Linked DNA regions of Arabidopsis thaliana. The protein of the gene in region 1 purifies or fractionates together with the protein of each later gene. This does not show direct contact. Each region holds a gene or a part of one and is shown in the gene's direction. Other genes may lie near its edges.

The links.
Region 2: the proteins of PSB29 (region 1) and OEP80 fractionate together in Arabidopsis thaliana (co-fractionation; one study listed by BioGRID). This does not show direct contact.

What each region holds. Positions count from the first base shown.
Region 1 is NC_003071.7:8,985,630-8,990,143, forward strand, and holds PSB29 (photosystem II reaction center PSB29 protein), read left to right. Parts: upstream 1-1,954; 5' UTR 1,955-2,153; coding exon 2,154-2,340; intron 2,341-2,451; coding exon 2,452-2,719; intron 2,720-2,810; coding exon 2,811-3,027; exon of another isoform or gene 3,028-3,195; coding exon 3,196-3,311; intron 3,312-3,441; coding exon 3,442-3,556; 3' UTR 3,557-3,782; downstream 3,783-4,514. Other genes in the region: ERF53 (Integrase-type DNA-binding superfamily protein), read left to right, coding at 424-1,434; DGK5 (diacylglycerol kinase 5), read right to left, coding at 3,783-3,860, 4,189-4,494. UniProt on the Arabidopsis thaliana protein: Involved in a dynamic process of vesicle-mediated thylakoid membrane biogenesis. Required for the normal organization of vesicles into mature thylakoid stacks and ultimately for leaf development.
Region 2 is NC_003076.8:6,621,594-6,628,641, forward strand, and holds OEP80 (outer envelope protein of 80 kDa), read left to right. Parts: upstream 1-1,603; 5' UTR 1,604-1,729; coding exon 1,730-2,437; intron 2,438-2,530; coding exon 2,531-2,624; intron 2,625-2,998; coding exon 2,999-3,081; intron 3,082-3,189; coding exon 3,190-3,287; intron 3,288-3,428; coding exon 3,429-3,498; intron 3,499-3,775; coding exon 3,776-3,869; intron 3,870-4,049; coding exon 4,050-4,131; intron 4,132-4,217; coding exon 4,218-4,253; intron 4,254-4,356; coding exon 4,357-4,510; intron 4,511-4,584; coding exon 4,585-4,725; intron 4,726-4,901; coding exon 4,902-4,972; intron 4,973-5,093; coding exon 5,094-5,172; intron 5,173-5,248; coding exon 5,249-5,364; intron 5,365-5,481; coding exon 5,482-5,629; intron 5,630-5,712; coding exon 5,713-5,782; intron 5,783-5,893; coding exon 5,894-6,048; 3' UTR 6,049-6,301; downstream 6,302-7,048. Other genes in the region: GNL2 (GNOM-like 2), read right to left, coding at 1-452; AT5G19630 (alpha/beta-Hydrolases superfamily protein), read right to left, coding at 6,554-6,876. UniProt on the Arabidopsis thaliana protein: Plays an essential role during early stages of plastid development.

The sequences.
Region 1 (4,514 bases):
AAGTCAAAGCTGACTTTGACGACAAATCGCTAACCTTCGAGAGATGATGATAACAAGCCTAATTAAAATACACGTTACGTCGCAATCAATTGCTTCAATCTCATTCTCATTGCATGTCATCCTTAGCCGCGGTTAGCCGACCATACTATCAACGATGTGCATACTATCAACAATGTATTTGTAATAATTAAGTAGAAAAATAAAGAATGTTCCACCGTCCAAAAGAAACACAAGTACGGTCCTGAGAGGGCTTGAGATATTTTGCTTAGTGATATATGTCAACATCTTAGTTAAGCCCCACCGGTTCTGATATAAAAGTGGGGAAAATATTTCATAACCACACAACAAATCTCTCTGTTTCTCCCGCTCTTGCTCTGTTTTCTCAAAGACAAAAGAGGACATCGTCGTTGACTCCTCTTCTCTATGGCTACTGCTAAGAACAAGGGAAAATCAATCAGGGTCCTTGGTACCAGTGAAGCAGAGAAAAAGGATGAGATGGAGTTGGAGGAGGAGTTCCAGTTTAGTAGCGGCAAGTATAAAGATTCGGGTCCTGGCTCGGACATGTGGTTAGGAGATGCTTCCTCTACGTCTCCAAGAAGTCTTAGGAAGACTAGAACCTTTGACCGACATAATCCCTATCTCGTATCTTCTTATGCTACTCCTCAGCCGCCAACAACAACTACATGCTCTGTCTCTTTTCCCTTTTACCTCCCTCCAGCGATTCAAAATCAACAACGATTTTTACACCCGAATGACCCTTCAGGACAAAGACAGCAACAAATGATCTCGTTTGATCCTCAACAACAGGTGCAACCATATGTTGCACAACAGCAGCAACAACAACAACATCTATTGCAGTACTGGAGAGACATTCTGAAGCTGAGTCCGAGCGGAAGAATGATGATGATGAACATGTTAAGACAAGAAAGCGATCTGCCACTGACGAGGCCACCGGTTCAACCCTTCAGCGCCACCAAGCTATATAGAGGTGTCAGGCAACGCCACTGGGGAAAATGGGTTGCCGAGATCCGTAAGCCACGAAACAGGACACGTCTCTGGCTAGGGACATTCGATACAGCAGAAGAAGCCGCCATGGCCTACGACCGCGAGGCCTTCAAGTTGAGGGGAGAGACCGCTAGGCTCAATTTCCCTGAACTTTTTCTCAATAAACAAGAGCCAACTCCCGTGCATCAGAAACAATGTGAGACGGGGACTACTAGTGAAGACTCAAGCAGAAGAGGAGAGGATGATTCGAGCACGGCATTGGCAGTAGGAGGGGTGAGTGAGGAGACGGGTTGGGCTGAGGCATGGTTCAATGCAATTCCAGAGGAATGGGGACCTGGAAGCCCTCTATGGGATGATTACCACTTTCCCATTTCTAACCATAAGGACGATCTTGACGCCACACAAAACTCTTCTTCTGATACAATTTAGGACCTTTGTTAGAATATAGATATGCTTAGTTGTATGACTGATCTAGCTTGTGTTTTTTTTTTGGGTGGAGACAGTTTTTGTCATCTTCCACATTTTAGATTCTATTTTCGACCATCATTTTTTTCTTGATCGGTGACTATGAATCTAATGGGGTCAATCATTTTCACATATAAAACTTAAGTATTTGGTGTTTGTACTTCATCAGTTCATCTTATTCCATAGAAAGAGAGTGAGAAGTGATCAATAACCCTTTTAACTGAAAAAAAGAAGAAGATCAAAACCTAAATAAGATTTAAGTACATATGTCTAATTCGACGTAAGACATTTTTGGAAACGATCAATGTACTAACGAGTTGAATTCTGATGAATCTTGAGCATGAATAAACGGACTTTGTAGTTTGTACAATTGATAATGAAACAGAGAGCAACATTATGTACATGTGATATATGCTGCATTTATTTATGGGCTTTTATTAGATGGACCGAGCTCTAGCAAAATCCAAAGTAAATGGGCCTAATCCTAACGTGGACAGACAAGGGACACGTGTCACACTACCGACATCTCGTGGAGTTGGATAAGCCACTCGAAAGTCGAAACTCAGAAGATCCAACCAGAGCCATCATCATCCTTCCAATGGCTATTACTTGAGAACTCTTCTGATTAAACATAGCAACAACAACAACTCTTCTTCTCCTCTCTTTCTCACTTCAATTTAGCGATGGCTGCAACTGCAATCTCTTCTCTTTCCTTCCCAGCTTTGGGTCAATCGGACAAGATCTCCAATTTCGCATCTTCTCGTCCTCTCGCCTCCGCAATTCGCATCTGCACAAAGTTTTCTCGCCTTTCTTTGAATTCGCGTTCCACTTCGAAATCTCTTATTCACTGCATGTCCAATGTTACCGCCGGTGACTCTTCTTGAACTTCACATTGCATTTCACAATTCATTCTCCTTTGTTTTGTATTGAAAAAGGCTCTGACTTTATCTGCATTCACTCTCTTGTGGTTTTGTTGGTCAGATGTGCCTCCTGTATCAGAGACAAAGTCGAAATTCCTAAAAGCTTACAAGCGACCCATCCCGAGTATCTACAACACGGTTTTGCAGGAGCTCATTGTCCAGCAGCATTTGATGAGGTATAAGAAGACTTATCGTTATGATCCTGTTTTTGCCCTTGGATTTGTCACTGTATATGATCAGCTCATGGAAGGATATCCGAGTGATCAAGACCGAGATGCCATTTTTAAGGCTTACATTGAAGCCTTGAATGAGGATCCTAAGCAATACCGGTTTGCTTCTTCCTGCTTCCATCTTCTCCTTGATAATGAATGTCTTCTTGTTGAATGTCTTTTTCTAAAGATGATAACTTTTTTTGTACAGAATTGATGCTCAGAAGATGGAGGAATGGGCACGAAGTCAGACTTCTGCTTCACTAGTTGACTTTTCCTCTAAAGAAGGAGATATTGAAGCAGTTCTTAAGGACATTGCAGGAAGAGCTGGTAGTAAGGAGGGGTTTAGTTACAGCAGGTTCTTCGCTGTTGGGCTCTTTCGTTTGCTTGAGCTTGCAAGTGCTACTGATCCAACTGTCTTGGACAAGGTGATTCTATTCGTCTTCGGTTTGCTAATCTATATTAACAGCTTAATCTTGTGTTTAGAGGAAGAAGAAATGTTGCTAGTTTTGTATCCATTATGTTCACTGGCAATGTGCAACTGTATTCTCTCTGACATCTCACGGTAATTTTGATCTTTGTGTCTCATGAAACAGCTTTGTGCATCCCTAAATATCAACAAGAAAAGCGTGGATCGGGACCTGGATGTGTATCGTAACCTGCTTTCAAAGCTTGTCCAAGCCAAGGAATTGCTTAAGGAGTATGTCGAGAGGTACTGATACTGAATCCCTATCTAAATAGACTAGGCACTGGTCTATTTTTGAATGAATATACGGTGCTTGCTGCACCATGAAACTTCTATATAGAGCCTAACTTGGATCTTTATACTTTTGGTTACTCAGGGAGAAGAAGAAGCAAGGAGAAAGAGCCCAATCTCAGAAGGCTAACGAAACAATCTCCAAGTGTCTGGGAGATACTCTATATAACCCATCTTTCTTGGTTGAACGGAAATCTTAGAAAATCATTTGTGACTTCTTTTTTTGTTTTCTTAGCAACAACTATGCCCAAGAACATATATATCTCATTTCTAAGAACATTTCAGACGTGTATATGTTTGCTTTTTTTCCTTTCAATTACATGAGTTTACATAATGTTGATTCATGTAGTATTTTATACATTGATGAGGTTACTGTTGTGCTGTTACTAGTATATGACAAGTTTCTTTAAGATTTAGGCACTGTCTTCAGAGCACATGTGACCAACCATGAACATTTGAATTTCTCCTCCTTGAAGCCCTTCCTTTTTTATTACTGTGTTCTCCCTATAAAAAAAAGGTCAGATTCTATGTTTAGGAGTTGCAACATCTGAAAGTTTCGCATTTGGCGTCTCTGCACTGTCCTGCTAACTGCTGCAGTACATGTGCGTTAAACGAGAATCTGTGTTGCTATAAATCCAGATACATTATCTCGGCCATTAAACGTGAACAACCAAACAAAAGCAAAGAAAAAAGATGGTTACCAATCTAAACCAGTTGCTGCTAGTTGGCTCCTTTATGAAAGAGTGAATAAAAAAATTGGAGTCCGGAGGAAGAATGCATAGAATCAACAATGAAAATGGTTAATTGTCTAACTAAGTTGAGAAATATCAACCTCATCAGGAATCTTGAAGGTATCCGCAGCACCAAACTTTCTAAATTCTTCGCCTTCAGCCACTGAGTCGTCTTCATTATCATCATAATCTTCTGCACCATCCTGATGGCGGGGTGTTGAAGGGTCAAACACACTTCTGGACCGGCAGTCATGAGTTGCAAGCATGTTCACTTGGCCAAGGTGTGAAATCTCTACCATCACAGTTTCATCATCCAGTGGCAGTGGCTGTTTCCAGGGCTCCCCATCCATCCTCATGAATGTATGGTCGGTTGCACCTTTGTGAAATTCGAAGCGAATACGATTTGCCTAATCACAGAAGTTATCAT
Region 2 (7,048 bases), on another chromosome or scaffold:
TGAAGAATCCTCATCATTACAGCATCTTCAGACACCAAATCTGTTTTCTCCAAACGACAACTAGTAATCCCGGAGACAATAGAATTCATAGCATCTTTTGCACCAGGTGTTTTCTCATCGAAGATCTCGATTTTAAGGATCTTTAAGATGGAGGAAAGAGCGACAGCTGTGGCGCTAGCCGGAATCTCATCGCTTTGAATAACTTCGAGGAAAGGAGAAAGATAAACCGAAGGATCTATGGTGCGCCAATCTTGTTGAGGATTGAAAATAAGAGCTCTAAGAGATTTGAGAGATTGTTGGACTGATGAATCACAGTGGTCTGTTTCTTGGGGAGAAAGGTAACTTTCTGAAAGGGGTCTACGAATGACGGCAAGGACTGCACCAACCTCCGTGTTAAGCATGCATGATATCCCTAGCTCTTTCCGCTTTGCTCTTACGGCGATACGATCCATTTCTCACCTTATCACACTCTTCTTGCCGATAAAGAAGAAAAATCATTCAGCAACTGTTTTTTTTGTTGTTCTTCGTTTTTATTCTTTATGTGTACGGTGTTGCCTTGCCTTGGTTTGATCCTATATTTAGTATATAAGTTTTAGTGGCTGAGACTCAGTGATGGGTGAGTTTCAACCATTTGTCATCACACATCTAGGAAAACTCCATCATCAGCTACCGTCAATTTCTTTAAGGCTTAAGATAGAAAACTAATGTACGTTCTGCAAAAATTCAGATTTAAGGATACATTATTTGGATCAAACGTATGTGTTCAAGGTTTTTTTTTCTTCTTCTTTTAAAGTAGAAGCAAACTCTACGATGATTGGAGTGGAAACCATTTTTGTAGGATTAGGCCTCTTCATACTGATCTGAGTCAGACTTTGCATAGCTGAAGTTTTTTTCCTCTACTATTCAATTAACCAGTAGAGAAAAACTGACGCTTAAGAGGTTAATGGAGCTTAAATTTTACCAAATTCAGACCATAACTCTATTTATGTACTGGTCCTAGTGTTTCCAAGAGAATATATCTCTCAGCTTAAATTTTACTAAAATTCAGACCATAACTTATTTATGTACTGGTCCTAATAAGATGAATGTTTTAAGGGTTTATGGCTTGCTTAAGAAGAGCCAAAACTCTCTATAATTAACAAGTCTAAAATTGACAAAATTAATATAATTGGTTTTGTTACATGTTTGTGACCATAACTACTAAAAAAATTCACAGAAAAACTATTCAATAATCCTTGTTTGTTCATGTGTGTGATCTATTAATCAATAAAATCAAGAAAATGGATAGGAGAAATCAACTAACGTTTTTTTCTCAAAAATCTATTTATTTATTTTGATTAACATGTTTTGAACGTTAGTTAACTAATTTACCCTACAAAAAACTAATTTACCGTCAAATAAATGAGAAATCCCCTTAATGAGAAATTGATTATTTTCCAAAATATTTATTTGACGCAATTTTATTTTCATTTTTGAAAATCCAGTAATTTTACAAAACCTAATAATATACTCAAAGGAATGTTTACATAAAACATTCAAAAAAATAATTTGTTTTTTGTTTGTTCGTAAATGGGCTTTAACATCACCTCCTTTTCACTCTATCATCTTCTACTCCGAGTCTCCGAATCAAAAAAAACCCTAGCTCTTATTTTTTGTTCTTAGATTTTATCTCTTAAGCTCTTCTTCTTCCTTGACATTTCCTCAATTTCACTCCCGAGTACGATTAACAATGCATTGTCACAACGATGATGTTCGCTTCTCTTCATCTTCTATCAGAATCCATTCTCCATCTCCCAAAGAACAACACTCTTTACTCACCAATCTCCAATCCTGCTCTAAAACCTTCGTCTCTCACCTCTCAAATACTCGTAACTCACTAAACCAAATGCTCCAGTCGCTAAAGAATCGCCACACTCCTCCTCCACGTTCGGTTCGTCGTCCCAATTTACCGACTCAGATGCTCAATTCAGTAACCCAGCTTATGATTGGGAAGTCTTCTCCAATTTCATTGTCTCTTATCCAATCCACCCAATTCAATTGGTCTGAATCAAGAGATGAGAACGTTGAGACAATCCGTGGACTAAGCTCGCCTCTGCTCTGTTGTGCCTCTTTGTCTCTAACTAGACCTAACGAGTCGACTCAGTCAGTGGAAGGGAAGGATACAGTACAGCAGCAGAAGGGTCACTCGGTGAGTCGAAATGCGGAGGAACGAGTTCTGATTAGTGAGGTTTTAGTAAGAACGAAAGATGGTGAGGAACTTGAGAGGAAGGATTTGGAAATGGAGGCATTGGCTGCTTTGAAAGCTTGTAGAGCTAATTCAGCGTTGACTATTCGTGAGGTACAGGAGGATGTACATAGGATTATAGAAAGTGGGTACTTTTGCTCTTGTACTCCTGTTGCTGTTGATACACGAGACGGGATTCGGTTGATGTTTCAGGTAATATTTTGATTGTTACTCTTTTTGTTGGAGGAGAAAGGTCTCGTTTTTATGTTTCTGGGATGCAAATAATTCTCATTTTCTTGCCATAAGGTAGAACCAAACCAAGAATTTCGTGGGTTAGTCTGTGAAAATGCAAATGTTCTTCCTTCCAAGTTCATACATGAAGCTTTCCGAGATGGGTTTGGTACGTATCCTCCAATTTAGCTTGTTTTTTTTTCTTCTGTACTGTACTAGACTTATCTGTCAATTCATTGATTTACGTTGGGAGTAAAATGGATTAATGATATTGGAACCTGACAAATATTTCGAGTACTAATGATGAAGCTAAGAATTTTCTAACACATGGTGTAAAATGTGTTAGCCTTGAATGAAGAAGATAGATTAGAGGTAGGTAGTATTCTCAAAATGTATCCATGCTCCAAAACAGAGCATAATTTGAAGTTGCATTTAGTTTACACATATTAATGTATTGAGGCTAGTTAGGTGGATTCCTTCTGTTCGGTGTGTGTTTGATTGGAGAGGGTAATGGTTAGTAAATGTTGGTGTCAAGCTGTGTAGGGAAAGTGATTAATATTAAGAGACTGGAAGAAGCTATTACATCCATCAATGGATGGTACATGGAGCGTGGTCTTTTCGGAATTGTAAGTGCTCTTTTTACACCATAATTACTTTTTCAAAAAAAAAAATCATCCTGGATTCAGTCTTATACTTTGTGGTTAGAATCATCATTCTGTTGTCTGCCATTGTAGGTTTCAGATATTGATACGCTTTCTGGAGGTATAGTAAGGCTTCAGGTTGCTGAAGCAGAGGTTAACAACATATCCATCCGATTCCTTGATCGTAAGACGTAAGCTGGTGCCAATCCCTCCCTTATGAATGTAGTTTATATTGGTTTAAATTGTAGGCAATTCTGGATGGCACTGGTAGCTTCCTTTTATTTCAACTATTAGATTACGATTTCATTGATAATGGTGCCTTCTATATTTAGTGGGGAACCAACTAAAGGGAAGACTAGCCCTGAGACAATACTACGGCAACTTACAACAAAGAAGGGACAGGTATTTTTTGGGCATTTCTCAGCTTAGATGTAAAGATAAGTCGCTGACTAAAACATCATAAACTATCTGAGCTGTATTTTTATGCTAAATAACACTTCTGAGTGCATCATCTGTGTATGAAATCCTTTGGAGATCTTATTTTTAATTAAGGTTAATCACTCTTTATGGTATCATGTATGTTTCTTCGTAAAATTTGGCCTTAAAGTCTTTATGCATGAGCGTCTAAGTAGGGCCTCTACATACACATCTTGTCTAATCTGGCTTTTGGTCAATTTAGGTCTACAGCATGCTTCAAGGGAAGAGGGATGTAGACACTGTGCTAGCCATGGGAATCATGGAAGATGTTAGTATTATTCCTCAACCTGCAGGAGGTGTGTAAATATATTTCTTTCTTTTCAGCTAATACTTTTAATTTTCATCTTGTGCTTAAGGTGCAGTAGTATGAGTGAAGAAAGTATTTTCCTTGCTTATCCTTAGGCACAGTAACAAAAGGTTTTGACAGTGTCTGATTCTGAAACTTTCTTCTTTTCCTTGTTTTTTATTCCTGTTAGATAGTGGGAAGGTTGATTTGATCATGAACTGTGTCGAGCGTCCCAGTGGAGGCTTCTCTGCTGGTGGTGGGATATCTAGTGGGTAAGTTTTAGTTTGTTTGCTACTTACAGCGATTCAATTTTTTTCTTTTGTAGCTTGATGACAACTTTTGTCCAATTCTTTTGTAGGATCACAAGTGGCCCCCTATCAGGATTAATTGGAAGGTAAAAGTAATGTATATTTTATTTGTAATGATTTTTTTTTTATTTCTGGCCTAGGCTGTGTGTATTACATTACTGATGTAGTTGAAGTAATCATTTTATGCAGCTTCGCTTATTCCCACCGCAATCTGTTTGGAAGAAACCAGAAGCTTAATGTTTCCTTAGAGAGGGGTCAAATTGACTCTATATTTCGTATAAACTACACTGATCCATGGATTGAAGGAGATGACAAGAGGACGTCCAGATCTATTATGGTTCAGGTAACACCTTTACTGGTTATCTCAATGAGATTGCTGAGATGACTAATAAACTAATGAACTTCATCTTGAGTTAGAATTCAAGAACACCGGGGAATCTTGTTCACGGCAATCAACCAGACAATAGTAGTCTCACAATTGGTCGGGTTACAGCAGGTGTTGAATACAGTCGTCCATTCAGGCCAAAGTGGAATGGTACTGCTGGACTTATATTTCAGGTCTCTACTGTTCCCAATATTTTCTAAGTTTCTGTACCAATCCAGAGTAATATTGGTGTTAAAGCAATTAAAATATATGTTCTTGTCGTTTCTGACTAGATCCAAACTGGTAAATTTTTTACTTTTTGACCAATATATACGTTACCCTTAATTTCGTTTTGAATTTCATGTTTCAGCATGCTGGTGCTCGTGATGAACAAGGAAACCCTATCATTAAGGACTTCTACAGTAGCCCTCTAACTGCAAGGTATATATATGTCCCAATTCCCAAAGAATGATTTGTCTTTGGTTCTGCTCACTGTTTTCACCAATGCTGTATTTGGCCATATGAATTTGATAGATGCCATTATTAATGTTTTCTCATGCAGTGGTAAGCCCCATGATGAGACCATGCTAGCAAAACTTGAAAGCATTTATACTGGCTCAGGTGACCAAGGATCAACGATGGTCAGTCTGATACCTCTGTTGGTACATCTTCCCCTTCTTTTTTCAGTGCCTAATTCTATCTGTATTTTTATACCAGTTTGCGTTTAACATGGAACAAGGGCTTCCTGTTTTGCCCGAATGGTTATGTTTCAATCGAGTGACTGGACGTGCCAGGAAAGGCATACACATTGGACCAGCTCGTTTCCTTTTTAGGTATGCTAACTTCCTTTGAGGCATATAATTTTCTTGAGGTCTCTATTTACCTTTTGGGATTCGAATCATCATTTCTAAAGTTTTATATAGTGTATCTTACCTTGTTCATGTTTATAGTCTGTCTGGTGGACATGTGGTGGGAAAATTTTCACCTCATGAAGCATTCGTCATCGGTGGAACAAACAGCGTAAGAGGTTACGAAGAGGGCGCTGTAGGATCTGGTCGGTCATATGTAGTTGGTTCAGGGGAGCTGTCTTTCCCAGTGGTGGGTTTTTCTTTGAACATTCCTAAGATCTCATTTCACAATGGTGTAAAAATCATGACTCTCATTCTTACCCTATTGTGCAGAGAGGACCGGTCGAAGGCGTCATTTTTACAGATTATGGCACTGATATGGGATCAGGATCCACCGTCCCAGGTACAGACTAGGCTTTCGTTTTTTTTTTCTCCTTCTGAGCCTTTCCATATATGCTTGTAATAGCTTTAGAATCTCAGGGAACCTTCATCTTTGTTATTTTCTGCCCTTTAGGTGATCCTGCGGGGGCAAGACTGAAGCCCGGAAGCGGTTATGGATATGGTTTAGGGGTGCGTGTTGATTCCCCGTTGGGGCCGCTACGCCTTGAATATGCCTTCAACGATCAACATGCGGGAAGGTTTCACTTTGGGGTTGGTCTGCGGAACTAAATTTTCCTGTTTCTTTTTTAGATTCGATAAGTGTTTTGTCGGCCTTTGTCGCACATTCATCTAGATGATGCTTGTCTATTTTGATAATTTATATCATCTTATGTAACTCACTGTTTTGTGAGTGGTTTGTGCATGGAGAGAGATGTCGCGTATGAATGCTTTTCATGTAGATGATTTTCATTTTACCAAACTCCCAGTTAAAATTATTAATAGAACCAAGATTAGGATTTTTATTCTTCATCCTAGTATGAACCTGATTTGTCTCCTTAGGATGTCACATGATCGTGAGCAAACTCTTCTCGATGCAATTGCAAAGCTTGAAGAAATGTCCGATAGAGTGATAATAACTCAACATATGAAAACAAGTCTTTTAGTGCGTAGTGTACAGGGACATCAAACTCCTATCGTGCTAGTAAAGATTTATCCAAGTAATTTCCGGACATACACCAACGTAGTTCGACGAGGATGTAATAATCCCCTAAGGTCTATCTTTTCATGTGGTATTTTACAGGGATGAAATAAATTTACATATAATATCGGTCACCTGAGAATCATATTCAGGTCCTTCCATCTGGAAATGACTAACGCCTTCAATGAGGTGTGTTTCAGTGCGTCCGACTGCAGATTTCAGCTTCTTCTTTAGCTGGCTAACGCTAGTGAACCCGTCTTGTGTTCCCATTACGAAGAGTTTGGGTTTAGGGGATGAGAGAATGGCCTTGTGGTGTCGCCCAAAGAGAATCGAGGCCATTAGGCCAAATGGGTATCCCAAACTCACATATCCCACCACTTGCTCTACTTGCTCCACCGCTGATCCTGCGATTGGTGCACCTGCCAAAGAGTCAAAACTTCAATTATTTTTCCTTTAACCAATATAAAGAAGTTGGCATGAGATATCAAATTTGTCTCAGAATATTCATTTGAAAAGTAATGTGATCACTTCATCCATTAAACACGTCATATCAGAAAGTTAGTCGGTCACTATGATCAGTATAGGTAAGAG